Linked DNA regions of Diceros bicornis minor. The protein of the gene in region 1 interacts with the protein of each later gene in a pairwise test. Links are inferred from orthologs where the notes say so. Each region holds a gene or a part of one and is shown in the gene's direction. Other genes may lie near its edges. The genes, in order: PTPN6 and LAIR1.

The links.
Region 2: the proteins of PTPN6 (region 1) and LAIR1 interact in binary tests that used the Homo sapiens proteins (3 or more experiments, as listed by UniProt). The link is inferred for Diceros bicornis minor from reciprocal best matches to the Homo sapiens genes PTPN6 and LAIR1.

The regions. Positions count from the first base shown.
Region 1 is NC_080756.1:54,817,214-54,832,348, reverse strand, and holds the start of PTPN6 (tyrosine-protein phosphatase non-receptor type 6), read left to right. Parts: upstream 1-7,111; 5' UTR 7,112-7,342; coding exon 7,343-7,356; intron 7,357-11,813; exon of another isoform or gene 11,814-12,003; coding exon of another isoform or gene 12,004-12,011; intron 12,012-12,098; coding exon 12,099-12,221; intron 12,222-12,445; coding exon 12,446-12,640; intron 12,641-15,135. Other genes in the region: ATN1 (atrophin-1), read left to right, coding at 1-84, 288-510, 903-1,599, 2,513-2,656, 3,001-3,181, 3,391-3,424; C17H12orf57 (protein C10), read left to right, coding at 5,140-5,191, 5,496-5,672, 6,435-6,586. UniProt on the Homo sapiens protein: Tyrosine phosphatase enzyme that plays important roles in controlling immune signaling pathways and fundamental physiological processes such as hematopoiesis.
Region 2 is NC_080773.1:32,125,045-32,140,533, forward strand, and holds the start of LAIR1 (leukocyte-associated immunoglobulin-like receptor 1), read left to right. Parts: upstream 1-7,220; 5' UTR 7,221-7,390; coding exon 7,391-7,424; intron 7,425-7,893; coding exon 7,894-7,929; intron 7,930-9,675; coding exon 9,676-9,996; intron 9,997-13,811; coding exon 13,812-13,922; intron 13,923-14,019; coding exon 14,020-14,062; intron 14,063-14,150; coding exon 14,151-14,188; intron 14,189-14,397; coding exon 14,398-14,450; intron 14,451-15,006; coding exon 15,007-15,153; 3' UTR 15,154-15,489. UniProt on the Homo sapiens protein: Functions as an inhibitory receptor that plays a constitutive negative regulatory role on cytolytic function of natural killer (NK) cells, B-cells and T-cells.

The DNA.
Region 1 (15,135 bases):
CGAGAGCCCAGTGCCCCCGGCCCGCAGCCCCTCGCCCCCTCCCAAGGTGGTAGATGTGCCCAGCCACGCCAGCCAGTCAGCCAGGTGAGCAGCCAGGGCAGGTGCGGGCGGGGAATGGGGACCGACAGAGAGCTGGAGCAGGCCCACCCGGCGTTCATGTGCTTTTTAAAGGACTCAGATCCCTGTCTCGCCCTCAGCCTGCGGGGGCTGGTTTTGGGGCACGGTCCCCGCGGGGCCGCTCGGGCAGCTCACAGGGGCTGAGCGCACGCTGCCTCTGCACCCGGCAGGTTCAACAAACACCTGGACCGCGGCTTTAACTCGTGCGCGCGCAGCGACCTGTACTTCGTGCCGCTGGAGGGCTCCAAGCTGGCCAAGAAGCGGGCCGACCTGGTGGAGAAGGTGCGGCGGGAGGCCGAGCAGCGCGCGCGCGAAGAAAAGGAGCGCGAGCGCGAGCGGGAACGCGAGAAGGAGCGCGAGCGCGAGAAGGAGCGCGAGCTGGAGCGTAGCGTGGTGAGTGCGTCACCGCGTGCGCCGCCCTCTTTCTGGCCCGCCTGCCCGCCCGCCCTCTGCGCCGCGCAGGGAGGCTCGAGGGGTGGGGGCGTCATCGCGCCACCTGTCAGAGAGGAGGAACCACTGCATCCCAGGAGATGGAGACTAAAGGATTCCAGCGGGAGGGACCAGTGCGTTCCTGGGTTGGGGGAAGGCAAGCTCAGGTCAGACTACCTGTGGATCGTAGGGAGAGCCAATATCCACGAGAAGAGGGTAGCGAAGTTCCTGGAAAGCTGAGTGCCAATAATGTCAGGCATTTTGGCATTCAGCTGATGAGACAAATGAGCAGCTCAGGACCAGCCACCTCTCTCCAGATCTGCCCTTTTGAGTCCGCTTCTCTCTGTATCCCACAGAAGTTGGCTCAGGAGGGCCGTGCTCCAGTGGAGTGCCCATCTCTCGGCCCAGTGCCCCATCGCCCTCCATTTGAGCCGGGCAGTGCTGTGGCTACAGTGCCCCCCTACCTGGGTCCTGACACTCCGGCCCTGCGCACTCTCAGTGAATACGCCCGGCCCCACGTCATGTCTCCTGGCAATCGCAACCATCCATTCTACGTGCCCCTGGGGGCGGTGGACCCGGGGCTCCTGGGTTACAATGTCCCGGCGCTGTACAGCAGTGACCCAGCAGCCCGGGAGAGGGAGCGGGAAGCCCGTGAACGAGACCTCCGTGACCGCCTCAAGCCTGGCTTCGAGGTGAAGCCCAGTGAGCTGGAACCCCTGCACGGGGTCCCTGGGCCAGGCCTGGATCCCTTCCCTCGACATGGGGGCCTGGCTCTGCAGCCTGGCCCACCTGGCCTGCACCCTTTCCCCTTTCATCCGAGCCTGGGGCCCCTGGAGAGAGAACGACTAGCGCTGGCGGCTGGGCCAGCCCTGCGGCCTGATATGTCGTACGCTGAGCGTCTGGCAGCTGAGAGGCAGCACGCAGAACGGGTGGCAGCCCTGGGCAATGACCCGTTGGCCCGGCTGCAGATGCTCAATGTGACCCCCCATCACCACCAGCACTCCCACATCCACTCCCACCTGCACCTCCACCAGCAGGATGCCATCCATGCAGGTGAGACTTCGACTTCTTTGCCTTGGCCTCTTGGGGCCACCTTGCCCCCTGGCAAATGATTGGGCTCTTCTGTTCCTGAGGCCAAGACGTCCCTCCCTAAGTGTGGCACGAGCCTCTCTCCTGAGATTGCTGCCCACATCTTTGCCTTCCTGTCATCTGCCAGCCTGTCTCCTCATGCCCTAAACTCGCTACAGAGACTATAATTTTCCACCCCTCGGCTCTCTTCCAACTCTAGCAGCCCACTCGTGATAAAGACCCAGCTGGAAACCTTGGAAGGAACAACACTTTTATACCCTCACAGCCCCTCTCCCCGAGCCCTTCTCATACCCATTTTCTTGCTTGTCTGGATTTGACTCTTGTTGTTTCTTGCCATCTTCTCTTCTCCTCCCAGGTGGAGGTCTTTCATGTTCCACCCCATCTCTAGATCTGTGACCTTCCAGAAAGAGCCCTGTGGCTTTGCTTGTGGGGGTCATAGGTGATATGAGCTTTCCTTACTATCCTTTCACCATATTTCTCATTGTCCAGAACACTGCCCAGTCTAACCTTACAAACACGTTCATTCCAGGCTCTCTTGTGCTTTCTCTCTTAATCTCCTTTCTCCTCCTGTCTCATTTCCCAAACTTTCTATCCTCTTCCATCTCCTCCAAGCAGTGCACTTCTTTCTTTCCTTTTTCTCAGACCCCTCTGACAACTGTAATTTGTCCTCTGCCATCCATGTGTCCTACTCCAGTAGGGTCTTGTCCTGTCCATCCCCCAGGCCCCCAGTTCTTCCATTGTGCCTCCTTCTTCCATTCTGGATCTCCCTGTTTTTGATTGTCCATCTCTCTTCCCAGGCTTGGCTCCCTTCACCCAAATGCATGCTTTTCCCCCAATTCTGCCTTCTGGTGACACCTTCCTCCTCTCTGCCCTCCAGCGTCTGCCTCGGTGCACCCTCTCATTGACCCCCTGGCCTCAGGGTCTCACCTTACCCGGATCCCCTACCCAGCCGGGACCCTCCCCAACCCCCTTCTTCCTCACCCTCTGCACGAGAATGAAGTTCTTCGTCACCAGCTCTTTGGTAAGGATGGAGGTTGGAGGTGGGGAGGGTCTAGTGAAAGAAGGGCAGAAAGGAGGAATTTGGGTGAGATTGGCCTAGTTGGGCTTGGGGAGGGATGAGGAGGTGCCCAGAGGAACCAGGATGGAAGTAGGAGGGCTGAGGCCCTGCCCAAGAGAGGCATAGGTTTTAGTGCCAGGCTAAGAGGTTTGAATTCTAACTCCCCCACTGGCAACTTGCAGGACTGGCTGTTTCCTAACCTTTTTAGTCTCAGTTTCCTCTGTATGTAAAGTGGCTGGCTCTCCCCTGGCCCAGAGTAAGTATCTGTACCCCATCAGTCATGTGCCTCCTGCTCTTTCTGCCCACAGCTACTCCTTACCGGGACCTGCCAGCCTCCCTCTCTGCCCCGATGTCAGCAGCTCACCAGCTGCAGGCCATGCACGCGCAGTCAGCTGAGCTGCAGCGCTTGGCGCTAGAGCAGCAGCAGTGGCTACATGCCCATCACCCGCTGCACAGCGTGCCCCTACCTGCCCAGGAGGACTACTACAGGTACTACGACACCCCTTGGCAGGGAGTGAGGGGATGCAAGCTCAGCTGGCCTGGCAGCTGGCAGGGTGTGGGCATGGTCCAGCTGGGCACTAGGCTCCTGGGGGAGGGAGACCTGGCCCTTCTCTTCCACCATCCCCCTCTGTGAGAGGGGCCAGGTCAGGGTCGACCTCAGTCTCTCCTCTCTCTGCTCTGTACCCCCTCTCCCCTAGTCACCTGAAGAAGGAAAGCGACAAGCCGCTGTAGAACCTGCGATCAAGAGCACCCATGGCCCCTGCATCTGGACCTTGGAGGCCTCCTTCCAGGCCTGCCACCCAGAGCCGAGGAGGGGTGCTGCTCAGTTGAAGGGCCTCGCAGCTGAGCAGAGGGAGGGAGGAAGGGACAGATGGAAGTCCAAGGCTCCTGTGGTGTGTGGCGGTGGGGAGGTAGTGGGGGTGGGGGCAGAAAGCGCACAGTATCTTGGACCAGGTCCTTCTCCCTTGTCCCCCTGCTTTCTTCCTCCCCCATGCCCAACCCCCAGTGGCCACCACCCCTCCCCCACCCCGTTGGTGTGATTATTTCATCTGTTAGATGTGGCTGTTTTGCGTAGCATCGTGTGCCGCCCCTGCCCCTCCTCAGTCCCTGTGTGTGCGCGCCCCCTCTGCGATGTATGTCCCTTGCCCCTCCCCCACATTAATAATTTATATATATAAATATCTATATGACGCTCTTTAAAAAACATCCCAACCAAAAACAACCAAACAAAAACATCCTCACGACTCCCCAGGAAGATGGCTGTGACTGGTTCTTTGCGGGCTATGGTGGTGGGCTTGGGATGGGGGCTGGGGTCTCTGCGCAGGGGTCCCTGGAGAGGAAGCTGTGGAACCGGAGAGGCTGGCAGGGAAGTGGGAAGGGACGGACCTTCTGAAGGCACTGAGTGTAGGGACCCTGGAGAGTTGGAGACGGGATCTCAGAAGAGCCCGGGGCCCTGGAGCCCTGGCTTCCTAGTGGGGGTCCTCCCGGTGCCAATCCCCTCCTTCCTGCCAAGGCTGGGAAATGGAGATGCTGGAGGCCTGGGACAGGCACGCTTCGGACGTGGTCGGGTCTGAGAACGTTTTTGCAACTGGTCCCACGGCTAGGAGCCACCAGAGTCCTGAATCCTTTCCGTGGAATGGCTAGAGAAACGGTTATGAGGCGGAGGGGCAGGGGCCGTAGTTTCGGTGGGTTAAAGCGATTGGAATCCTATGGTTTGAGGAAGGAGCGAGTGACAACTTCAAGCTTAGAAAAGAAATTAGAGGGCGTACCGCTGCAGCGAACATGGCATCACAAGGCCATTTTAGGAAAGCGCGAGAGGTACTCTAGCTCCAAGCTTTTACTGCTGCGAGTCACTGTCTCCGTTCTTAAAAACTAAAGGGGTGTGACTGGCTTCTTTCTCAGCCAATCAGCATCGGTCTCATTTGCATAGAGCCTTAACAAACGTTCACAAACTCCAGAAATCAATGATATGAGTAAGTTCCTTAGAATACTGCTTTTCCTTCTGAAAGTTACACTGTGCCTCGTTGCTTATACAGTAGGAATTAGAAGAACCCCGTTCTGAGCTCACCCTCACCGATAGTGGAGTTCCTGGCTGTGCCGCCTTCTCTCCAGGCCTTTCTTTTTAGTGTTACAGCTCTTTTAGAATTTGTCTAGTAGGTTTTCTGGTTGTTACTGGAAAACCCCGTCACCGCTCGTTTTGAACAATAGAGTTAGTTGAAATGGGGTGGTGTCTACTTGTCGCTAGTACTGGAGTATTAGAAATTCGCATTTAGTGGTTTTGCCGTTGCCAGGAAGTCCCAGCAGGGAGACCAGCGCTACGCGGAGAGGCTTCCGGCTACGCTGATGCGCTTCCCCTCCGCCCGCATCCCCGAGAGCCGCTGCAAGAGAACCCTCTTTTTCTTTGAGCGTTAAGTTGGTTCCGCCGCACGTGCGGTTTTTGTTGCCGTATGGCGTCCGCCTCGGCCCAGCCCGCGGCCCTGAGCGCCGAACAGGCCAAGGGTGAGAAGCATGCTCGTCACAGGGTGGGCGGGCTGCCTGCGCAAGGAGGGTGCAGGCGGAGGATACGGAGCGAGAGCTGTGGTTGCATCGCCGGAGAACGGGGGCGAGGGGTACCGTCCTTACTCTTCCAAGAGGTGGTTCTTGTCTACTAGAGCGAGGGATTCGGGAGTCGAATTTGTCGGGTTACTATGGCTTCAGTCCACTAATTAATTCCTTGCCCTCTTCCCTGCGCTCTTGGCTGGGCCCGCCGGCCATGCTCCGACGCCTATCCCGGACGCCTCCCTGGGATGCATCTGCGGCACAGTGGTCCTGGCCGAGGTAATCCAGGCGTTCTCGGCCCCAGAGAACGCCGTGCGCATGGACGAGGCTCGGGACAACGCGTGCAACGACATGGGCAAGATGCTGCAATTCGTGCTGCCCGTGGCCACGCAGATTCAGCAGGAGGTTATCAAAGCCTATGGTTTCAGCTGCGACGGGGAAGGTGGGTCGCACGGAGGTCGGGGAGAGGGCGCTGTATCCGTCGGGTCCCTGAGCCGTCGTCGTCCTTCTCGCCACACGGCGGCAGTCACCATCTGACTATTAGCACTCAGAGCCCAGGGTCTACTCCGAACTTGTGCCAGGCGATGCCCCAGGTGCGTTTTGTCGTTACCGTAAGTGGTGATATGGTTATCCCATGTTAGGATGAGGAAACAGACTCTAGCAGTAAACTAAGTGCCCGAGGTCACAGCAGAGCTGGACCTGAACCCCTTCTGAGAGCTTTTAGTGATATGTCTGCGTGTCAGTGGGCTTCTGCAGCCCATCCAAGGTGTTTCAGCTAATCTCTGTTTGAGGGTCAGCAGTTCAATTCCGTTGAGATCATGGTGTTCCCCAAGGATGTTGTTTGACTCAGCCCAGCTGGCCCAGGGCCCTCATGTGTCCTGGTTATATAGACTTGGGATCTCATGGGTGTTCATACTTGTGGTTCTTGTGACTAAATTGCTAAAATGGTTCACCTGATAGTGAGAAGCGCACTGCTTGGGATATCTTCGTTAATTGCATCCTATCCAGTTGTGCCTGGTGTAGACCAGGAAGTGGTTGATCCGAACCACACAGGGTAGGGACCTGCATGTGTCTTGTGTTTTGCAGACAGCTACCTGGCCAGAGGAGGCGCAGCCAGTGACTCATGCTCCAGCTGCTCCCCCCTGCCATCTTGGGCACACCCGTCCCTTTGGGGTGTGGGCTGACGCTCCACTCCCCCTTGCAGGTGTCCTCAAGTTTGCCCGCTTGGTCAAGTCGTATGAAGCCCAGGATCCTGAGATTGCCAGCCTGTCAGGCAAGCTGAAGGCACTGTTCCTGCCCCCTATGACACTGCCACCCCACGGGCCTGCTGCAGGTGGCAGCGTGGCCGCCTCCTGAGGGTTGGCTCTCCCGTGTGACACTGCCTGGGAAGGGAAGATGTTGGTGTTCCAGAGGATAATAAACCTGCCTGTGACTTAGCCTCCGTGTCAGTCTTTTGTGACCCTGACAACCCCCACCTCCTGGCCCCAGATTCCCTCTGCCATTCCAGGCTGCTCCATTTCCCTGTCCAGATCCTTCCTATGCTCCTGTGGGGCCCAACCCTCCTCCAAGACAGGGTGGGAGGATGCAGGTCCCTCAAAATGCTGGGTGAGTGGGTCTGCACAGGTGGCACCTCCTCTGAGGAGTGGGGTTTCCTGGCTTTTCCTGAGGCCTTTTGGCTTCTGTGCATGGAGAGACTCCCCCATTGGTTTGTGTTCCCTTGGCCAGGGTTACTTCCTGGTCTTTGCTTCCACCCGCCCTCCCTCTGTCAGCTTGAGCGCCAGGTGGAGCTCCAGGTGGCTCCTCCCATCCCAAGGGAGGGAGGCCCTGGACAGGCAGGCGGGCCCTGGACTACCGAGCAGGGCTGGAGGGAGAAGCAGGCTGCTGTAGGCTGTGTGAGGCCAGTCCCGCCCCACCTGTCCCTTTTCCGGGGATCATTAGTCCTGGGGCTTGTCCCTGCAGTGCTATTGGCCTAGCGGTCAGCTTCGAGGAGGAAGTGGCCGAGTTCCGAGCGTTCTTCCTCACCTGGTTTGGGCCACTGTGCACAGCTGTGCCCCTGGCTCAGCCCCGCCCCTTGTGGCCCTCTGATTGCGACTTCCCCATCTCTCTGGGGAGATGCTGTCCCGTGGGTAAGTCCCCCGCTCCACCTGGGTACCACAGTCTCCTGTTACTTTGGGAGGGAGAGGCGGGGCTCATGCTCACTTTTAACAGGTGTGAGACTATGAGTGCAATCTGCTGCTGCCTCCTGCCCTGGGTCTGCTTCCTGTCTCTACATACTGCTTCCCCCCAAGATGTGAGGAATCCCAGGCTGATTCATGCCTCTCTGCCCCACCGCTCCTTTTCTCTAGGACTTTCCCCTGACAGATGTGTATTTATTCTCACCATTGCATTTCTCCCTTGCTTCTGTCGTCTGCTTAGGACCTGTGCCCCTGGGTAGCCCACGTCACCTGAAACAGGGTGTCTGAAATGCAAACCTGAGAAAGCTCCCTGTTCCCACATGACTTCCCATCTGGCCTCCGCTCCTCTTTCTCTCGGTTTCCTGTCACTTCCCCTCCCCTGCATCATTCATTCAACACATACATGCCGAGCATCTGTTACAGGCCAGGTACTTTTTAAGGTGCTGACAATACTGTAGCAAACAAGGTGGACATGGTCCCTGCTTTCACGGAGCTTCGTTCCAGTGCGAGGTGACAGACTACACAAGGAACCCAATTAATAGGATCATTTCTCAGAAGTGTTATGCAGAAAATGAAACAGTTTCATGTGCTAGTGAGTGACAGTGTGCCGCTGGCATCACTAGCTGGAGCGGTCAGGGAGGGCTTTCCTGAGAAGGTGATGCGGGAGCTGAGACCTGGATGATGAGGAAGAGTCAGCCATGTGGTGATAGTCACGTGCCCCTGGGCGGAGGGAGTGGCGAGTGCAAAGGCCCTGCAGTGGGAACAAAAGAGACAAGAACAGCGCCTGCCGCAGAGTAAACCAGCGGAGAGGGAACAGGGACAGGCAGTTAGGCCTTGCTGGAGTTTGCATCTTACAGTGAAGACCAGCTTGGGGTGTTGGTGTTTGTGGGTTGGTCTCCCCAAGTCCTGCTGGTTCTTCTCACACGTCTGCCCTTCCGGTTTGCACTGCTGCCCCCAGTGCACACCTCGTCACCCTCAGCCCCCTGACAGGGCTCTCATTGAGTCTTCTGGTCCCTCATCCTTCCCACACTCCTGCCACGGCTGTTTTCCTACCAGGTAGCTGGCAAGGCTTCTCCCGGTGCAGAGTCCTTCCTTGGTTCCTCAGCCTGGCCTTGTAAGACCCTTTGCAGCAGGTGCCAGCCTCTCTGAGCAGCTTTGCTCCAGCCATGCCACTCTGCTCACACCCCAGCATGGCTCAGGTGGCCCTGTGCCTGCCCGCTCGGGGCCTTTGCAGAGGCTGCCTCTGTGGGAACACCAGCCCCTCCGCTTCCATCGTGGGCTGTGCCGGTGCCCTCTGCCCCATCCCCCCGCACTGCAGCCTCCAGCGGCGCGGTTGGTGTGGTGGAGACGGCAATAGGCCCTGGCATCAGACAGCCTTGATTTGTCCACCTTCCCACTCACTTGTGACCTTGTGCAAGTTGCTTAACTTCTCTGAGCCTTAGTTTTTGTTTCTAAAATTAGGCTAAGACCTACCGAATAGGGTTGGCATGTGGATTAATAATGTAAAGTAGGGCCGGCCCCGTGGCTTAGCGGTTAAGTGCGCGCGCTCCGCTGCTGGCGGCCTGGGTTCGGATCCCGGGCGCGCACAGACGCACCGCTTCTCCGGCCATGCTGGGGCCGCGTCCCACATACAGCAGCTGGAAGGCTGTGCAACTATGACATACAACTATCTACTGGGGCTTTGGGGGGAAAATAAATAAATAAATAAAATCTTTAAAAAAAAAAATGTAAAGTAAAAGCTGTTGGCACTTAAACCCTACTACTAAACATTAGCTTTTTACATCAGTATTTGGGAAATACTCTTAAGTCCGTTTATCAGGTGGGGATACGAGGCTCCGGGAAGTTCATAATTTTCTAGAAATTATTTCACTTTGTTTGCTCTTCCAGACCACCTATCTTTCTGTATCACCATTGATCTCTATCTCGACCTTTATCTCCCTGCTTCCCAGGTGAATTTTCTCTTCCGAATGATTGGTTGCTTGCTTTTGTAATTCTCAGCCTCCTTGAGCCTGTTTTCCTCCGTTAAACAATAATTCCTACTTCACAGGGATGTCTGAGGCCCAATGGGGTTGTGTGTTTGCAAGTCCTCTGCAAACTCCAGAGCACTTATGTCAAGGGGAGGTGGAGGGGAGGTGGTTACGATTCATTTTTCTGTCAAGGGACAGCAGAGACTGTATATCTTATCCTAGTGTTTGTCTGTCTTCCAGCTTGACTACTTGGCTTCAGAGAAATTCCTGCCTCTTCCATGGGTCAGGAGTTTCTGGGTGCCTGGTTAGTTTCTTCCTGCCAAGTCAGTTTAAACCCCGGAAGGAGAGAGGCCTGTGGCCAGGGTGCAGCAGATGTTTAGTGCCGAGCACGGACCTGCAGTTTCGTGTGTGGTCAGGGTGGTGTGAACGTGTGTGGGTGTTTGCACCGGACCAGGTATGTGTGTAGATGGGCATGGATGATGAGGTGCATGTGGTGGGACCATGTGCCTAAATGGAGGCTTGTATGTGCGTGTATGTGTACTCATCTATATGTGACAAGCAGCGTGTGCAAGTGTAGGACCAGGAGGCTGGACTTGTGACCACATATGTGAACGGGTATTGATGAGCTTGTTTATCAGACATGTACTCCGTGAGAAGCGTGCTCAGCTTTGAACATTCGGAGGCGAGCAAGACTAGCAGCAACTAGAGCAAAGGGCTCTTCCTGCCCCTCGCTGTGAGGGTGTTCATGGTCCTTCAGGGTGGCCGTCCAAGACTGCAGGGGTAGTCAGTGTTAGACCATGCAATAAACAGGCCAAGCAAGTTCCCCAGGGCACCGGAAGGGAGGAGGAGCTCTTTTTAGGGGGGAAAATTGACGTTTGATGTTTCAAAAGATGATAAAGTAGTCATCATAGGAAAAATACACTTTCATTGGGCTTTAACATTTTGTTATTTTTTCCTTATTTTTAATTGAGGTATAGCATACATAAGGTGCATGAATATTAAGAATACAGCCTGATGAATGTCACACTTATACACACCCGTGTATACACCACCCAGATCAAGATTTAGAGCAGTCCCAGCACCTCAGATGTTTCCCAGAAATTGCCATCTCCCAGTCAATTTACTTATTTTTATAACAGCAATACATGCCCATGCTACAACGTTCAAAAAAGTATGAGGGAGAAGTAAACGTCTCTCCCAGCCCTCTCCTCCGGCCACCAGGCCTCCCTCTCTAGGGAAGCCACCAGTGTGAGTTTCTTGTGTCTCCCTGGTGGGGCTTCTTTCCTCTTGTTTTGGCTTGGCAGTGTTTGTGTTGTATGGGGATGACACACTGGGTACATCATAAGCTTTTAGTGTTTAGGGCCTCTCCAGGTCAACCAGCCCTGAGAATATCAGCCGTGGCCGGGACCTCGGCCCCAGCCTCCAGCCCCCAGGAGACATGCCCCTGGTCAGTCCTGGCTGACTCAGACCAGACCCACTTGGCAAGAACCTACAGCTCAGGCACAGGTGGCCCGACCCAAGGGGGCGGGCGGCTCTATCCCCATCTGCTTTCCTCCCATTCTGTTCCTTGGCTCTGACTACACGGTTAGGGCAGGGCGGGGCAAGGGCCTAGAGACAAGAAGTTGAAAAGTGCGAGTTTGACAGGGCTGTGCAGGGGTCATTTTGTCCATCCCTCTGCCCCAGTGGCACCTGTGCAGTGTGTTTGTCAGGAGAGGCAAGGGCGCCCCTCACTTTGTCAGCATCTGCACGGCCTTGGCTATTAGGAGTCTCCCCCTCCCACTGCAGCCCCAATGGCCGAGGAGCCTCCCAACCTCTGTCCTTGAAGCCCCGAGGGCTGGCATGTGGTAGCTAAAATCACAGGCTTTGGAACCAGACCGTCCGGGTTTGCATCCCGGCACTGCCACTTACTGACTGCATGACCTCCGGCCACTTCTCTACCCTCCCTGAGCATCACGTTCCTCATCTGTAAAGTGAGGATAAAACCTTGTCTGTAAAGTGAGGATAAAGATGGTACCTGCTCCATAGGGCTGTTGTGAGGGATAAGGCAGACAGGGCACGTAGACAACCTTTTAGTACAGTGCCTGGCATACTGAGACTCCATCAAATGACAGTCGTCACTGTCACCATTATTAGTAGCTTGGACCAGGGAAGGCTGTGTGGAAGCAGCTGGAGGAGGAGGAAGAGATGGCATGTGACTGTGCAGGTTCACGTGTAGGAAGCATGAGGGTGCTCCTTGCCTGGAGGGTGCAAGGCACACGTGTCCTTATTTCGTGTGTTGTCACGTTTGCGGAGGGCCACGCTCCTGAAGCCTCTGACGGCAGACGTGTGGGAAGTGCGCCCCGTCCCCACCCCCACTGCCACCCCGCTCTGCTTGTCTTCGCTCTGCTCTAAAACGAGAAGTACAAGTGAGTTCCCCCAAGGGGTCGGCCGCGCCCCTTCCTGTCCCCGCCCTGCCGGGTGCCCCAGGCCACTGGAGTGGCAGCCCCATAACCAGGACCGCGGGGTGGTGAGGTGGCCTGGGCGCTGAGAGCTGAGAGCCCTGTTGGAGGCTTAGCCCCCGAGTTCTCTGCCTGCCCCAACCCGCTGGCAACACCTCGTTCCTTGTACCCCTTCCTCTCGGGGAGCCCCAAGGATGGTGAGGTAAGGGCCTGGGACCCATGGTAGGCAGGAGGCGAGGATGCCCTGGGGGCCGTGGGACCTCTCCTTACTGCCCTCCCGGCCTCCCAGGTGGTTTCACCGAGATCTCAGTGGGCTGGATGCAGAGACCCTGCTCAAGGGCCGAGGTGTACACGGGAGCTTCCTGGCTCGGCCCAGCCGCAAGAACCAGGGCGACTTCTCCCTTTCCGTCAGGTAGGTGGCCTCCAACTCCCACCAGGGCCCGTATTTTGGCAGCTCATCCCCGGTTCCCTCGTGGCAGTGCCAACTTCCCATCCCCAGCCCGAGCATGTCCCCTGTCCCTGTCTGTGTCCACCCCATCCCTGTGTGTGCCCCACACTCAGGACCTCAGCCCAGCCCCCACCCCATGCCCACCCCTACTCCTGCACCCACTGGCCTCACTGCCTGGTACCCTGCAGGGTGGGGGATCAGGTGACCCATATTCGGATCCAGAACTCAGGAGATTTCTACGACTTGTATGGAGGGGAGAAGTTTGCGACGCTGACGGAGCTGGTGGAGTACTACACACAGCAGCAGGGCGTCCTGCAGGACCGTGATGGCACCATCATCCACCTCAAGTACCCGCTTAACTGCTCTGACCCCACCAGTGAGAGGTGAGGGCCTTCGCACCCTGACCTACCCCCACGCAGAGCGGGCTGGCCTCCACCCCTCGCTGTCAATGCGTCCCCATCCCCGCTCCTTCCCAGGGCTCTGTGGGTCTCTTTCCTCCATGTGATCCTGGGGCCCGGGTCTCAGGGGACTAACTTCCCTCCCCTTTCCATCAACCCTTGAGGAAGCAAGAGAAGGTCACCTCGCCCTTCTCCGGGGTCCCTGTCAGCTGGCAACCCAGGCCCTGCTAGTGACCGTGTTTTATAGCAGGCCAGCTCTGTTATTAGAAAGCTCTTCTTCCTTCTATGGAACTGAATCTGCCTTCCTGTAACTTTTCCTCCCCCAGTACAGGTTAATACGGAGAGAGGTTGGTGTTGGGGAGGAGCATAGGGACTAACGCTGATGAGGACGCTTAATGCCTTATCTCAGCAACCCAGCGAGGATTGTCTGCCCTCTGGGGCTGGGTAGAGCTTGACTAGTCCCTGGACCAGAACACAGATCATTGAAAACTGTGTGATGTGGTCACGTGTGTAAGGGGCCTAGTACCTGGGCACAGGGTAATACTCAAGGCATTTCCCTCCCATCCCTTTGGCTCCAGAGATGTGGTCCCCAGAACTGGGCTGGCTACTCCCCATGTGGTCTCCCTAAAGCATGGGCGGGGGGGTGGGGGGACCTGAACACTCAGCTTTACATGGAGGCTCATTTTAGCGGCTGCATCTCAAAGACAGCTCCTGCTAAGGTGAAGGGCAGCTGAATAATTCCATGGGCCTTTTTCATACTCCTGGGGCCAAGCCAACTCTCCCTTGTCTGATATTAGCGTATTGATTATTGAAATGATTCTGAACCTGATTCTGTCCGTTTTCAGTCTTTCTGAGAGGCATGCCTCCCAACTTGTCTCAGTATTTTTGTTCAAGCCAAGATTAAAACTTAGCACTGGGTGAGGCTTAGGTAAAGGCTGTGTGGCCCACCACTGGAGATCTCCTTCCAGTCAACATGAAGCCACTGATCCACTTCCTTTGAAGCCACCTCCTGTAGGAGTAAAGCCCAAGTGTTGGTGACTTTGCTCATGGTGCTCCTCCTTAGTACTTTCTTGCCCTTTTCCTATGCCCACCTGCACACTCATGGAGGTTTGCCACCCAGACCCTCTTGAACTCCTCACGTCCTCTCCCTCCTTACACTCAGCCAGGGTCTGCTCTGCTGGGAGAGAATGGGTTGACCCAGACCCTAGAGAAGCAGTAGCTTGTGGATGGAGCTGGAAGAGGGAAGGAGGAGCTGAACAGACCTCCCTGGGGAGCAGCCTGAGGCCTGGGATCAAACTGCTTGGGAGTGCAGGAGAAGGGCAGAGCTGGGGCTGGGGGTGGTGGGTCAAGGAGAGAGAGAATCAAGACCAGGGAAGCTGACTCTAAGAGGCCCTTTTGATGACCCACGCCAGGATGCCTGGCTCACCCCTGACCCTGGGAGGCTGTGTGGGAGGCTCTTTCTCCAAACCTCCCTTTGTGTTCCCTGCTTGGCTGCTGCCCTTCCTCCTCTGAGGGAATTTGCATTTGTCCCTCAATGGCTAGCTCTCTGCCTGTGGTCAGCCTGGCATTTGCATGGAAACTTCCTCATCCTGGGCCCTGGGGGAAGAGGGTTAGCCCCCTCCCCATTGCCCAGGGGCCCTGGCCTACCCCTGAGTGGTAGGATGGGCTGGCCCAGGGGGCACCTGGACAGGGCAGGAGGCTCTGGAGGTCGCCTCTGGGCAGGAGTGAGAGGGGGCAGGACAGACTGGCCCCCTCCCTCCTTCCCCCATCCCTGCGGTTGGAAAATGCCCCCCCTCCCCTGGTCCCTGGGCTGAGGAAACCTCACAACCTCACTTCTCACTCTCTCCCCAGAAGGAGTTTTGTGTTTTTTCCATCACGTGGTTTCCTGTGGGGCTGGGCATTGTGGGGCTACAGTTTCCTCCTGGGAAGGGGGTGTGCTTTGGGGAAAGGTCCTAGTTCTGCTTTCTGCCCCTTTGAGCCCCTCTGAGCCCCGGCCTCCCCTTTAGTGATGTCATCCTGGGCACCCCAAAGCCCCCCAAATCACTCTTTCCCCAGTGGGGTTGTCTGTCTTCCCTACCACCCTGGGGAGTTCTCCCCATCATGCCTCCCTTGTGACTTCCGTCTCTCCCCAGCTCCATTGCTCTCTGTGGATTAGCTTCTGTCTGTGTATCTCTTGATCTCCGTTCTCTTTCCCAAGCCTAGCCCTGTCCTTCATGGAGACCTTGCCTCGGTTTCTCCCCTCCAGATAGCCTTGATATGGCCTGCCTTTCTGCCTTTGACTTAACTTTCAGAGGTGGGTCTGGTTAGAACTCCTGAGGCCTGCCTCTTATCAGCAAGGGCCTTGGGCCAGCGTGTAATCACCCAGCCTCAGTTTCCTCATCTGTAAAGTGGGGATAGTACCTACCTCTCAGCATTTTGTGAGAGTAATGGACCTAAATATGGTGGTAGATTTGAAAGCATCTAGCACAGTCCCTGGTACA
Region 2 (15,489 bases), on another chromosome or scaffold:
GGGAGACATATCCACAGTCGGGCGTCAGGAGACTGGTTGAGCTGGCTGGCTCACTGCTGAGTGTAAGGTTAAGTAAAGTGAGAATTGTATTAATCCAAGAGTTTAGGACTATAGGGCTGTTTTTAAGAAAAATAAAGTTTAGAAAGGGGGAGGAGGAAAAGTGAGCAAGCAAGAGGAAGAAAGGGAGGGAGAGAGACAGAGAGACAGAAGGAGAGAGAGAAATCTCATTTGGCCAATGAATAAGAGGATTTTAAAAATAGTTTCTATACATATTATATATTGCCAATTATATGGAATGCCAAGATACATTCAGTAACTCATTGACCTTCATGAGAGAAAGTTAATGGCTTTATAAATGGTACTGAGTCAGAATTCTAGTTGGAATAATCATTTGAATTTGTATATTTTGAACTTCTTTTTACAAGAGTAATGTACTTTCATATTTAGTCGATAAAGGAATATTACATATAATAATAATAATAAAACTTTGTAGTTAAGGAAAGTAGGAAAGCAAAAGATTCTTTTAAAAGCTTTGATATGCGTGTAGCATTTGGAAAAACCAAATCGTGACCACTTTGGATACGTGGCTTGGTGCAGAGATGCAATTCATGTCAGGCACTAATTAGGGGGTGAGCGTTGCTAATATAGACTTGAGTCTCCTGTAGAAAATTTTCAGGAATCTCTGTTCTTTTCTCAGTTCCAACCTGGGGAAGATCAGAGACCCAAACAGAGTAGCGAGAAAACCGCTCATTTGTATGCATGGTTGCTAAGTTGTAGACGATGTAAACTGTTGGTGCCTAGACCACTACATCCTGTGCATTTTCAGTTTTATTTGGCCTCAGGTGCAGCAGGAACATCTTTGCATCAGGGCCAGAGGACTGGGATGGAAGTGGGTGAGTCCACCCCGCCCCAAGCTGCTTTCTTGGCTGAACTCCAAGGGTCCTAGGCAGGAGAAGTGGAGCGCAGGGGTGTGGGCTAATGCGGATGACTTGGGCAGGGCTTTGAGGTTGAGTCTTCCGGAAACAGAAAGGATGCCTCGACACCCCGGGGCATTCTAGGCTCAGATTCGGTTCCGTAGACCCCCCACAGCAGACACTCTGTGTTTGCTGAGCCAAACTGGGGATGCTCAGAAATGGGGGTCTTTGAGATCTTATTGGGTACTCTGTGTAATGAGGGAAAGACCCAAGGCTGCAACAAGCAGCACTCTCTGAGGACCAGGATCCAGCTGGAGGACGCTGGTCAGTCCATGAGAGTCAACTGTAGGTCATTACCCCATCACAGGCCCAGGAGGAGGACTGATGAACATGGAGTGACCAGGTAGTATTACCCCATCACAGGCCCAGGAGGAGGACTGATGAACATGGAGTGACCAGGTAGTAGTTTTGGAATATTTCAACTATTTTGATGCAAACTCATCTTTTTTTTTTTTTTGAGATATAGTTGACATATAACATTGTGTAAGTTTAAAGTGTACAACATATTGATTTGATACATTTATATTACAATATGATTACTGCTGCAGCTTAGCTAACACCTCTATTGCCTCACATGATCATCATTTCTTCTAGCGGTGGAAACAATTAAGATCTACTCTCAGCAGATGTAATGTTTAGAATACAGTTTTGTTGTTTATAATCGCTGTCCTGCAGATTATATCTCCAGGACTTATTTGTCTACTAGTTGCAATTATGTACCCTTGAACAACATCTCTACCATTCCCCCACCCCCTAGCTGCTGGTAACCACAATTCCACTCTCTGTTTTTTCTCCAAACTCATCTTTCATTAATACTTCATGTTGCATTATATGTCATTTTATTTATGTAGATTTTGCCTTTGCATCTGACATTAAGTTTATATTTAATTTGCAAATGTTGTGTATATATCCGAATGTATTATTCACTATTTGTGGAGTACCCCAAGTAAAGGTTTTGTTTGAGGAAGAGGTTCTATGCTCATCCTGAAGTAAGCTTTGGACACAAATCTTCTCCAGTTAGAGACCTGAGTCTTAGAAGAATGCAAAGGTTCAGGGCCTTTACAAGGGTAGTGAGGGATGACAGCTCTGCATCCCCTTCCTTAAGGAAAAGTCCAGAATAACCACCCTGCTGGACCCGATGAACTTAGTAGGTGGAGGAAGCTATAGATGCTGATTCTTTCAGCCATTGCCTTTCCAAGTAGTCAGCCTGCCCCCATGTCTTCCATGGGCATACGCTCTTCAGGCACAATGGGAATGTTAATTAAGATCCAACCAGGGAAACAGAAACTCTTCTACTTATTTAAAAGAAAGAGAGAATCAAATGCAATATGGTATTCTGAATTGGATCCTGGGATAGGAAAAGAACATTAGTGATAAAAACATATAAAATTCAAATAAAGTCTGTAGTTTAGTTAGTGATTGCAGCAATGTTAATTGCTTGGTTTTGACAGATGTACCATGGTTATGTAAAATACTTACCTAAGGGGAAACTGGATGAAGGGCGTATGGAATCTTGCTGCATCTTTGGAACTAAATCTAAAACTATTTCAAGGTAAGTTTGTTTAAAAAATAAGTTAGGGAACAAATAAATATTTTCCAAAAAGAAAATAAGATCAGTGGTCACCTGGGAGCAAAGGGACACAAGGAATCTTTTGATGGTGATGCAATTCTTGACTATGATGGTGGTGTCACAACGGTCAGAGCTCAATGAATTGGACATATTTGTGGATGCAGTTTGTTGTATGTAAATTATTTCTCAATAAAGCTGATTAAAAACCACTAATGAGGTTTAACATTCGCAAATCAATCAACGTGATACACCACATTAATAAAATGAAGAATAAAAATCACACGATCATCTCAATAGATGCAGAGAAAGCATTTGACAAGATACAGCATCCATTTATGATAAAAACTCTGAATAAAATGGGGATAGAAGGAAAGTATCTCAACATAATAAAGACCATATATGAGAAACCCACAGCTAATATCATCCTCAATGGTGAAAAACTGAAAGCTATCCCTCTAAGAACAGGAACCAGACAAGGATGCCCACTCTCACCACTCTTATTTAACATAGTACTGGAAGTCCTAGCCAGAGCAATCAGGCAAGAGAAAGAAATAAAAGGGATCCAAATTGGAAAGGAAGAAGTGAAACTGTCACTATTTTCAGATGACATGATTTTATATATAGAAAACCCTAAAGAATCCACCAGAAAACATTTAGAAGTAATAAACGAATATGGTAAAGTTGCAGGATACAAAATCAACATACAAAAATCAGTTGCATGTCTATACACTAACAACGAAGTAGCAGAAAGAGAAATTAAGAATACCATCCCATTTACAATTGCAACAAAAAGAATAAAATACCTAGGAAAAAACTTAACCAAAGAGGTGAAAGATCTGTACACCGAAAACTATAAAACATTGCTGAAAGAAATTGAAGAAGACACAAAGAAATGGAAAGATATTCCGTGCTCTTGGATTGGAAGAATTAACATAGTTAAGATGTCCATACTTCCTAAAGCAATCTATAGATGCAATGCAATCCCTATCAAAGTTCCAACAACATTTTTCACAGAAATAGAACAAAGAATCCTAAAATTTATATGGAACAACAAAAGACCCCAAATAGGTAAAGGAATCCTGAGAAAAAAGAACAAAGCTGGAGGTATCACGCTCCCTGATTTCAAAATATACTACAAAGCTATAGTAACCAAAACAGCATGGTACTGGCACAAAAACAGACACACAGATCAATGGAATAGAATCGAAAGCCCAGAAATAAACCCACACATCTATGGACAGCTAATCTTTGACAAAGGAGCCAAGAACATACAATGGAGAAAAGAAAGTCTCTTCAACAAATAGTGTTGGGAAAACTGGATAGCCACATGCAAAAAAGTGAAAGTAGACCCTTACCTTACACCATACACAAAAATTAACTCCAAATGGATTAAAGACTTGAATGTAAGACCTGAAACTATGAAACTTCTAGAAGAAAACATAGGCAGTACGCTCTTCGACATCGGTCTTAGCAACATATTTTCAAGCACCATGTCTGACCGGGCAAGAGAAACAATAGAAAAAATAAACAAATGGGACTACATCAAACTAAAAATCTTCTGCACAGCAAAGGAAACCATCAACAAAAGGAAAAGACAACCTAACAACGGGGAGAAGATATTTGCAAACCATACATCTGATAAGGGCTTAACCTCCAAAATATATAAAGAACTCATGCATCTCAACAACAAAAAAACTACCAACCCAATTAAAAAATGGGCAAAAGACCTGAACAGACATTTCTCCAAAGAAGATATACAGATAGCCAACAGACACATGGAAATATGTTCAAAATCATTAACTATCAGGGAAATGCAAATCAAAACTACAATGAGATATCACCTCACGCCTGTCAGAATGGCTATAATTAAGAAGACAGGAAACAACATGTGTTGGAGAGGATGTGGAGAGAAGGGAACTCTCATACACTGCTGGTGGGAGTGCAAACTGGTGCAGCCACTATGGAAAACAGTATGGAGATTCCTCAAAAAGTCAAGGCTAGAGCTACCATATGGTCCAGCTATTCCACTGCTGGGTATTTATCCAAAGATCCTGAAAACACCAATGTGTAAAGATACATGCACCCCTGTGTTCATTGCAGCGTTATTCACAATAGCCAAGACTTGGAAGCAACTTAAGTGCCCATCAAGGGAGAATGGATAAAGAAGGTGTGGTATATATACACAATGGAATACTACTCAGCCATAAGAAATGATGAAATCCAGCCATTTGTGACAACATGGATGGACATTGAGGGTATTATGCAAAGTGAAAAAAGTCAGAGGGAGAAGGTCAAATACTGTATGATTTCCTTCATTAAGTAGTAGATAATAACAACAATAAACAAACACATAGAGACAGAGATTGGATTGGTGGTTACCAGAGGGGAAGGGGGCAGGGAAGAGGGCGAAAGGGATAATTCAGCACATGTGTGTGGTGATGGGTTGTAATTAGTATTTTGGTGCTGAACATGATGTAATCCATGCAGAAATAGAAGTGTAATGATGTACACCTGAAATTTATAGAATGTTATGAACCAATGTTACTGCAATAAACAACAACAACAACTACAAAATAAAAACCACTAATGAAGGCCTAAAAAAAGAGAAAGGAGGAGAATTTAATGCATAGAAGCCATTACCCAAATGAAGGAGAGCTGGGAGGAGCAGGTGCAGGGAGCTACAGTTCCATGCAGAGCAGGCAATGCTCCTGGAGCTGAGGGTTCCAGGTGACCCTACAAAATCTGGAATCATGTCTGGCAGGAACTCGAGTCATGAGGCAGATACAGTTGTCTGGGTCTTGGATGTGAAGGAAGGTTGAGAAATAGCCCGGCCAGCTCACAGGGGCAAATGGGAAAGGCAGCCTTAGGGGTCAGCCCTTTCCATCAAGCACAGCTTGGGGGATGGATATGACCATAAAAGGACCAAGGAGCAGGGCTGTGAGGAATGGGGACAGGGAGCCACTAGAGATGGAAAAGCTGAGAAAAGAGAGGAAGAGATATCCAGAGAGTAAGAGAGAGAGAGATCCACAGAAGCACACACACAGAGAAAAAGACCAGAAAGATACAGGTATGGAGGGTGGCTGGTGTTAGTCATTTCTCAGGAACAGTATTTTTGGCCTCTTGTTTAATGTTGAGTATCAAAACATGTATTCTTTGCAGCCCTCAGAAATGGGTGAGTAATTTTAATTCACTCATAAAGTGGAAGCTTTTGGTCCAGCTTAGCAAGGGGATTGTCTCCCTAGACTTCTTAACTGGGGTGATCCCTGGGCTTCATCCTTTAACCTCTACAGTCTGCAAGGCCATGAAAATAAAAGTTAATTCATCACCATCAAGGTGAGAGCCAGGTCAGCATTCAGCTTGACTGTGGGGAACCTCATCTTCCTTTAATTTTTGATTCCATAGCCTTCACTTAGTTTTCACTGCTTTGAGGCATTTAAGAAGACCTTTAAAATATTGTATTAAGCAGTTTTCATTTTTTAAATAATTATTGTATTTTAAGATGGAGTGTTGTTCCATAGATTTAGTCTGATATTTTGACAGAAAATCTAGGATATTTATTGTTTACTTTTTAAGAATTCCAAGGATAGGCCATCCCAGGGTTGGTTTAGCAATTCAAGAACCTTCTAAGAACACTGAATCTTGTATTCTTCCACCTCAGTTTGCTCAGTATTTCCCCCGTTGTGGTCAAGCTTCTTGCCTCATGGTTGCAAGACAGCTGCTGCAGCTCCAAATATCACATCATCATGATATAGCTGCCAATGAAGGACAGCAGTAAAAGGGGCAATGACCTTATGAGACGCTCTGTTATTAAGGGAGAAATATGATTTCCAGAAACCGTGGTATACTCTGTTTTAAGTATTGTTGTTCATACACGGTCATGTACCCCGTTCTGGACCAATCACTGCAAATGGGATTGCTAGATTGCCTTAACCCAAACTTCATCCTCTTGGCCCCAAACATGGAACATAGCCACTCGAACAGAACCAGGTTTCAGTTACTAAGGAAAAAGTGAGCAATGGCTGCTGTGTAGATCACCACCAATGCCTGCTACAGCGACCCCTGGGAGGAGCAGCTCTTTTCTGTCCTCAGAGGCAGTGGACATGAGTACCCACAATGGAAGTTTGGGTCCTACTGGGCTCCGTGATGCACAAGCGCCTTCCCCATCCCTATCCTGCTCTTTGTTTCTGCACCCAGCTGGGTCCCACATCTGGCCCCAACCCCAAGGTCTGTCTCCTGATCATTCCATCTCTTTAGGATTGCACGTATGCGGATGGGCCACCCTATGCTTTCCCAATTCCACTGCCACTGGGGGAAGATGGAAAGAGAATTCATGTTAGTAGGATATTTTTAATGCATTAAATATCCTGCTGGGAATTTAACATTTATTGTGATATTAAATGCTTGGTGAGGATGTTAGGCTTTCCATTTTAAATATGAGGAAACATCAGCATAAAATGGTGCAACGCCTTGCTCGAGAACAGAATGTGAGTTTGTGGAGTTTGGACTGACATTCAAGTCAGTTCGTGCACAAATCTATGTTCTACCTTGTCCCATAGATTGAGAATGAGGTTCACACCTCAAGGCATTCATGGGGAGATGAGTTGAGCCTCATCTGAGCATGGAGGGGAAGAAAACATCTTTTTGGAAGCCAAGGCCCTCCCCCGTTTCATTAGCAGGAATTGTGGAGAGGACAGGGGAGAGAGCACTTCCCCTTTTCGTGAGGCCGTTGATGTAGAAACCCCATGACAGGGCCCCCCGGCCAGCACATCCTGTCCCCTTGTGTCTGCTGTAGGCTCTATCCTTCCTCCCATTGGCTCCAGGACGGCACAGGCTCGTGGCCTGGGCCATGTCTCCCCATCGCACCAGCCTCCTGGGCCTCGGTGAGTCCTGGAATGGGGGCACTGGATTCCAGGCACAGAGGGAGTGGGAGCCTTGGGGAGGGGGTCTGCTTTCCTGCTCAGTCCTGACTCTGGTCCAGGAGACTCTGGGACCCTGGGGGAGAAGGTGGTCCTCCCCACCCCCTGGAGTCTTCCTCCCTCAGCTTTGGCCCAGACCTCAAGTCTGACCACAGAAGATTCAGTCCTAGAAGTGGGTACCCAGGTGTGGAGATGAGTTCAGACTCTGAGAAGGGCTGGAAGAGAGGAGTATCTATTTGGAAGAGGGGATGGGGGATTTGTCTTGAGACTATTTCAGAGCAAGAAGAAAGATTGCACTCAGATGTCATGTTGAGGAGGGGTGGTTTGGAAATTATAAGAGGCTGACCCCCCTGGCTCGCTCAAATCCCCTTGATAGCAGCCCTGGGAGGAAACGGGGTGGTGGACGTTTTTCTCACTACGATTTCTCTTCCAGTGCTCTGTCTGAGCCAGATGACCCACGTGCAGGATGGTGAGTCTCCTCCGCAATCCCTCCGCACCCCAAAGGCAGCTCTAGATGGGAGTGGTCCTGATCCTGGGAGGGCCTGGGGGAAGGCCCTGCAATATGCCCTCAATTGCAAACAACCCCAATCTCTCCCTGTTCTCCACCTGTGCTCTGACAGCCCCACAAAGACTATTCAAATCTGTGAGCTCTCCCCACACAAGCCTAGACCTTCCTCAGCATTCCCCGGGCAGAGAACACAACGGTCGCCAAGGGCAGAATCTGAGAATACATCCTTGATCCCATCTTCTTCATCCTGCTATAGTCAACATATCACCCAGGGATATGATTTTCAAATGATAATTTTAAAGTTTTGTTTGCATTTTTTCGTATATTTTCAGGCAAAATATTAATTTTTTAGAGTCCTCCCACAGTTTATCTGCAGATAGAATGAGAGCCCTGCATCTCTCTTGGTCTGAATCTGTCTGTCCCCACGCCCTCTGGTTCCCTTATCTCCAGAAACTTCACCTTTCTTTCACTTTCTCAAACACGCCACATTTCCACTCAGCTCTGGACCTCCTGACATGCTGATTCCTCCAGGTTGAATGCCCTGGCGTCCCCTATCGCTCAGCTCGGGTAATTCATGTTGACCCTCCCATCTCAGTTTAGATGCCTCCTCCAACTGCCCAGATGAGGTCAGCCCTGCCTCCCATCTTCTCCCCTAGGTTCCCACACTCACCCCCAGGGCACACATCACAGTTTGTAGCTGCAGATTTGTGCAATTATTCGATCAACATCTGTCCTTCCTCTAGATTTTCACCCATGAGAAAGCGGAGATCATGTGTGTGTTTTTCATATTTGTTGAACTACTGGCAAGTGGAGGCGTCTGTAAGAGGACAGATAGGAACTAAGACTTGGATGAAAGAAAGAAAGAATGGGCGAATGAATGATTGATAAACCTCTGCCAGCTCCCTGCCTCTATCACCGATTTTGCTAATTTTGACGTCACCTTCCTGTTTCAGGGCTACAAACACTCTCTTCCCCTTGCCCCAGATTAGTTGAGACAGATGGGGTTTTCCACCAGCCTCAATAACAGGAAATGGAAGTAAGGCTGAGAGGAGGGTAGAAAATACAGAGAAAACTCAGAGAGGAGCGCTTCACAGAGGACTTACATTGGAGACAGGAATCCGCATCCACTGGGGGCTGTGTGACCAGATCTGTGCTGGGGCTCTGCCACACCCCCACTGGACCTTCACTGGAACCTTCATACTGTGCTCCCGGTCCCCCACAATCCCACCTGGGACTGATCAGCTGTCCTTCAGACCCGGCCAGATCATTCCTACCTACTCCAGACTCTGGCTTCCCTTGTCCCCACAAATGACCTGGTCATTCCCATCCTCTGCCTCCATCCCAGCCCTCTCTGTCCCCCTAGAAAGTGGTCATGCACAGGGAGGGAGGGCTCTGCAGCAGAGATGCCGGCCCACAGCCTGCTCTGACACTTCCCGGGTCACCCTAAGCAAGATGGGACCAAGTCTCGGATCCTTACATCAAGTGGGGAAGATAACACTACAGTGATGAGAATTCACATGCAGGGAGAATGGACATGGAGGTGTCTTTTGTGAGGATGTTGAAATGTTCTGAAACTGGCTTGTGGTGATGGTTGCACAACTCTGCATTTGCGAAAAAAATTGAAGTGTACACTTAAAGTGGATGAATTGTGTGACATGGTGATTTCCTCACAAGTGGATCTTGAGATCCTGCTCTGCTTCCCTCCAGGGGCCCTGCCTACACCCTCCATCTCTGCTGAGCCAGGCCCTGTGATCCCTCGAGGGCAGCCTGTGACCATCGTGTGTCGGGGCCCTGATGGGGCTAAGTCATTCCGCCTGGAGAAGGAGGATAGACGCTCCTACAGGGATCAGCACACAGTGTCCCAACTTGATCCACATGGGACAGAGGCCAGATTCCCCATCACTGCAGTGAGTGACGACTCTGCTGGGCGTTATCGCTGCCTCTATCATGGAAAGTTCAGCTGGTCTAAGCACAGTAACATTCTGGAGCTGGAGGTGACAGAGGAGGACGTCTCCACTCTGCCCTCAGGTTTGTCCCCAGGACCCTGGATCCTGTCCCCAGTTGGACCTCTGTCCACAGGCTACCCTCCCCTCCTGCTAACCTCCCTTTCCCCCTCTGCACATGTGTCCCTCTGCCTTCACACTCAGCTCATATACCTGGAGCCCTGGTCCCATCTGGACACCACAATGGCCTGGACACTCAGCCTTATCATTGGGGTGGGCACGGAGCTGGCCCTGTTAGGCTGGGTGGGGAATGAGCTTCCAAAGACTGGGTGCAGGACAGATCCGCTTCAAGAGAATGTGTGTTTTTTCTCAGAATGATGTTAAACCATGCTTTCCACTTGATCAGAATCTGTGGGACCCCAGGGCCCCATGTGTCCCCTGTGGTGTGGTCCATCCTCCATTGGGCAAGTCACATGGTCCAGGGCACCCTGACCTGGGCTGGATGGTGCTTTGGGGAACCTTTGGGATGAGGCTGTCCCTGTCCCTGTGTGTGGTCAGCTCCCGTGACATCCTGGACTCAGGGTCCATCAGGGACACTCAGATCCTCCTCCATGTCTTCCTGGGGCCTCAGAGGAGCTGCTCTGTGCCAGTTCCATGAGGTCAAGGAGAGCACAGTGTGTGAGGAGCAGAACAGTGACCACCCCCAGAGAGTGGAGCGGGAGGGCTCTCCCTTGTCTCCTGTGCCCCTGCCCCATTTCCTCGGGAATCTCAGCATGTTGTCTGGGACTGATGATGAGTGTCTGGGGATGGATGCTCAGGGTAGAGAGGGGCCAGGCTGAGTGGGACATCAGCCCTTCTCCTGCCTCTGTCACAGGAGCCCCTGGAGATATCAGTTCCCAGCCCACACAGCCCTCAGCTGGAGAGTAGAGACCTCAGCCTGGAGGGGTTTCTGCAGGGCTCTGTGCTGGGGATCAGGCTCCACGGCCCAACTCCCTGCCGTGGGCTTGGATTAGGGAGTGGTAAGACCATAGCAAGGGGCTGACACCTGCAGGGCACTGGGGTGTCATCAATATTCATAATGACCATGATTGAACAAACCCCATGCCAGGCTCTGTGAAAGCAGTTATTGCCAACCACAGCCCAATGTGGGAGGTGCTCCCCTCATCTTCTAAGAGCCCCCCCCTTTTAATATATAGAAACAAAGTTAAAATTTCTTGCCACAGGAACAAGGCTCTGAAGGGGCAGGGTAGCCCAGGGCAGCCAGACCCCAGACCTCAAGGTTTGGCCGCAGCTCTGCACTGTCCCCTTGTGGTCAGGGTCCTACTGTTGGCCCGGCTCTGCAAAACACAGAGGGACAGAGGGACAGAGGGACTGATAGCTCACCTTGCAAAATCAGATACTATGGGAGAGAATGTGATCTGTTGATAGTTACGGCCGAACAACGATGTAAGATCATCAAGAGGAAGAGAGATCTCTTCTCAGAGAGCTCTGACTCTGCTGGGATGGGGGGCACAGAGCAAATGTCTCTTTCTGTCTGTGTCTGTCTCTTTCCCCCTGTCCTTCTCTCTCTCTCTCCCATTTTTCATGTGGTGAAGACTAAAGATTCAGGGCAGAATCCCAATGGCCAGACTGCAGGGTTCAGGGTTAAGATTCCAGCCCTGCCAGTCCCCAGCTCTGTGCCCACAGGTGAACCGCCAACATCTTCTATGTCCTAGTTTTCTCCTGTGCAAAATGTGCAATAAATGCACGGACTGCAGTGCTGTTTAGAGGATGCAGGAGTACACATACCCAGGGCACGGGGCTTAAATCAGTGCCTGCCGAATGGGACAGTCGGAAGAAGTGCTGCTCGTGTTAACATGGAGCAAATATTTTCTTCTCACTTCATATGTGCCACACACCGACCTAATGCGGGACTGATGCACGTGGTGGAGGAAGAGAAATGGTCCCGCTTCCCAAACTTTGCTGGGGAGAATTAATTAGAAAGCACGAAAGAAATGCACATACGTACACATGTGCTTACCTAAATATATAATTTACAATGTAAAATTTCAGATCTATAATTTATATTCAAGTATGTATTTACATTATATATTAAATATATAAGTAGTATAACAAAACACAATATATTATTAAAATGAGTATAGAATGTAATATATATTATATAATGATATACAGTATATTATGTATTACTAAAATTAATATATATGTAAATGTTAACATAAAGATGTACCATGTATTATATAATAAATATATATAATTTATATATTATATATAACATATAGTATAAGTACTTTTAAATTATATATAATTTAAAATATTTATACAATTTAAATTTACATATATACATTAAATCGCATAATTTTAAATATATATTTATTATAATTATTACATATTAAACATTTTACACAATATATTACAATGTATTAATATATTACTATATTAATAAATATAATATATAAATTAATAATTAATAAATAATTAATAATAATAATTAATAATATCATTAATATAAAATACAAAAATAATAATATAATATATTAAATATATTTACATAAAATGTAATACATATATAAATGCATTGTAATATATATTATACATATATTGCATATATATACAATTTTAAATTGTGGTAAATATCATAAACGGAAGGACGGGCAGGGATGGTGAGAACAGAGGGTGGGGTCCTGGATGGTGGACGGTGCACAAGGGGTTGAGGGAAGGACGCCCAGGGAGGTGGTTTTCTTCCTTTCTTAAAGGACATCGAGGACTCAGCCTCTGAAGCAGCGGGAAGGGTGGAGGTGCTGTCCAGAAGAGGGGACATGGGGGCTCACACCCTGTGGGTGGACGAGCCCAGCAGGACCTCACTTTGACCACCTGTGAAAGGAGCGGCGAGGCGCACCGCCCAGAGGCGGTGAACTGTAAAGGAGGTGGTGGACCTACAGCGCATGCGCCAAGCTTAGACCGTGGCTGATGCGATGGATTCGCCCGCTACCTGCAGGGCTTCAGGCAACACGGGGACACGGGCTCTTGGCTGCTTCTAGCACAGAACGGTGGTTCCTCCCCCATCAGGGTCTGCTGTGAGAAACAGAAATCAGAGATGGGGATTCCTGCGCTTGGGTGGGAGCCCACAAGGAGGTCATCATGGGGAGGTCCCAGCTCCCTGTTCCTCCCGGGTGTGGTCTCTATACAGGTGCCAAAGGGCGGAGAGCAGCGCTGTTCCATACAACCTCCGGTGGGAAGGAAGTGCTGTATATCTGCGCCATCCAGTGAGGATGTCATTACCCAGGTGTGGCCACTGAGCCCTTGTAATGTGGCTGCTGCAGCTGAGGATCTGATTTTAAATTTATTTAACTTCTATTTCCATGGAAACAGTCCCGTGTGGGACCATAGGGGACAGCACGGACGTAGAACGTTTCCATCCTCACGGAAAGTTCCACTGGGCAGTGCTGCTCTAGAGGGAGCAGGTGGAAGTCCCAGAAGCAAGGAAGATCCCTTGAGGGGTCCCGGAGACTCAGTCTTCCCTGTCCAGCTCAGGCCTCTGACCCACGTCCTCCTGATTCCTCATTCCTAGGAATCACACAGACAAGTTCGTATGATGGTGACAATTGCCATAAGTGGTGGGAACAGAGGAGCATGGACCTGGTGTGTGCCTCTTGGGAAGGGGGAAAGAATGGCCTTTAGTATTGATCATATTCCAGCTCTGCTGATGCCCTGTGGACAGAAGAATTCAGCATTCAGGACCCCGGTTTTGTAAATTGGGGATAACGATTCCCATGTTGCAAGTCTGTTACGCATGTGAGAGATTTTATATATAAGCACCCAGCATATGTGTGGTATGCAGTAGGTGCTAAATAAATGCATGCTGCTGATAATCTGATTTCATCTTCCATGCTCCCCCAGGCCTGTCGACAGAATATATTTATATTCTCATTGGGGTCTCTGTGGCCTTTCTCATTTGTCTCTTCCTCCTGGTCATCTTCTTCCTCCATCGTCAGCATCAGAAAAAACTTGGTAGGTCTCAGGGAGAGGGTGGGGTGAGCTGGGCAGGCTGTTTGGGGTGCTGGGAAGAGGGCCTCTCTTCTTAATTCACACCTCTGACTGTCCTCAGGGCTCCCCAGCAGCAGAGGCAAGGAGCAGAGGCCCCAAGAGAGGTGAGGCCCCTGAGAATGAGCCCCCGACCCCCTCCCAGTCCTCTGCCTCCAGGCTGCCCCCCAGTGCTCACTCGTTCTTTCCACTCAGGCTCAGCCCAGATGCTGACATCCTAGAGAGGACACCAGGTAAATATGAAGAGAGGGGACAGGCCTGGGAGAGGGGAAGTGAGGACTTGGTGCCATTCAGGAAGCAATGGGGGGAGGGAGAATGTTTGAGAACATTCTGGGGTGTCCTAGCTGGGGTGTGGGATGAAATCTGAATCTGTGAGGTTTCAGGCAAATTTGCCTTCTAAGGTCCACCCCAGAGAACTGACCACTTGTCCTCTCCCCTCCAGATCTGGCCACAGTCGATAGTCTTGCTGAGAAGGACAGGAAAATGCACAACTCAGTAAGTCCTTGTGGTAGTTACCTACTGCTGTGTAACAAAACAACACCAAATTTAACAGCTTAACAAAATTATCTCAGTTTCTTTGGTCAGGAATTAGAAAGTGGATTAGCTGGGTGGTTCTGACTCATGGTCTCTCATGAGGTTGCTGTCAAGACGTTGACCAGGGCTGCATTCATCTGAAGCCTCGACTGGGGCTGGAAGATCCACTTCCAAGATGGCTCACTCCCACGGCTGTGGGCAGGGGGCTTCATTTCCCCACCACATGGGCTTCTTCATGGCAGCCAGCCTCCCCTAGAATGAGGGATCCCAGAGAGGGAAGGGGAAAAGCTACAATGTCTTTTGTGGCCTCACCTTGGAGGTGATGTGCCCTCTTCTGCCATATTCTGTGGGGTCCCACAGACCAACCCTGATTCTATCTAGGAGGGGACTACAAATGATGATTCCAGGAAGTAGACCATGGGGGCCACCTGGAGGCTGACTACTACAGTCTTCCCTTCCCACAGCCTCCTACCCCCACCTCAGCCACCCAGACTCACCCTGGGTCTCTCTCCCCCAGACCTCTGCTGCAGGAGGCCTGCAGGAGGTGACATATGCGCAGCTGGACCACCGGATGCTCACACAGAGAGCGGCCCAAGCCATGACCCCACAGTCCACGGAGCCCACGGCTGAGTCCAGCACATATGCAACCCTTGCCAGACACTGACCCCAGGCCCACCTGGCCTCTGCACCTAAAGACACAGCAAGTCACTCTTGCAAAAGCCTGAAGTGGCCATTTGGAGGGCTACCCTGTGGAATCATCCTTTTCTGGAAAGTCATCCAGTCAATTCTCCTGGAGGCAAGAGCTGGAGTCTGGAGACCCCTAATCAACATCTAGGAGATTCATTAACCATGTGGTACCCCCTTTAATCAACTAGCTTATTGGAGAGAACATGCAGCACTTGTTTCCAGAGACACAGCTACAGTCGCTAGGCTTTTTCCAGAGACACAGCTATAGTCCTACAGTCGCCCAATGATTCCAGACGTGTCTTATGAATCCCCA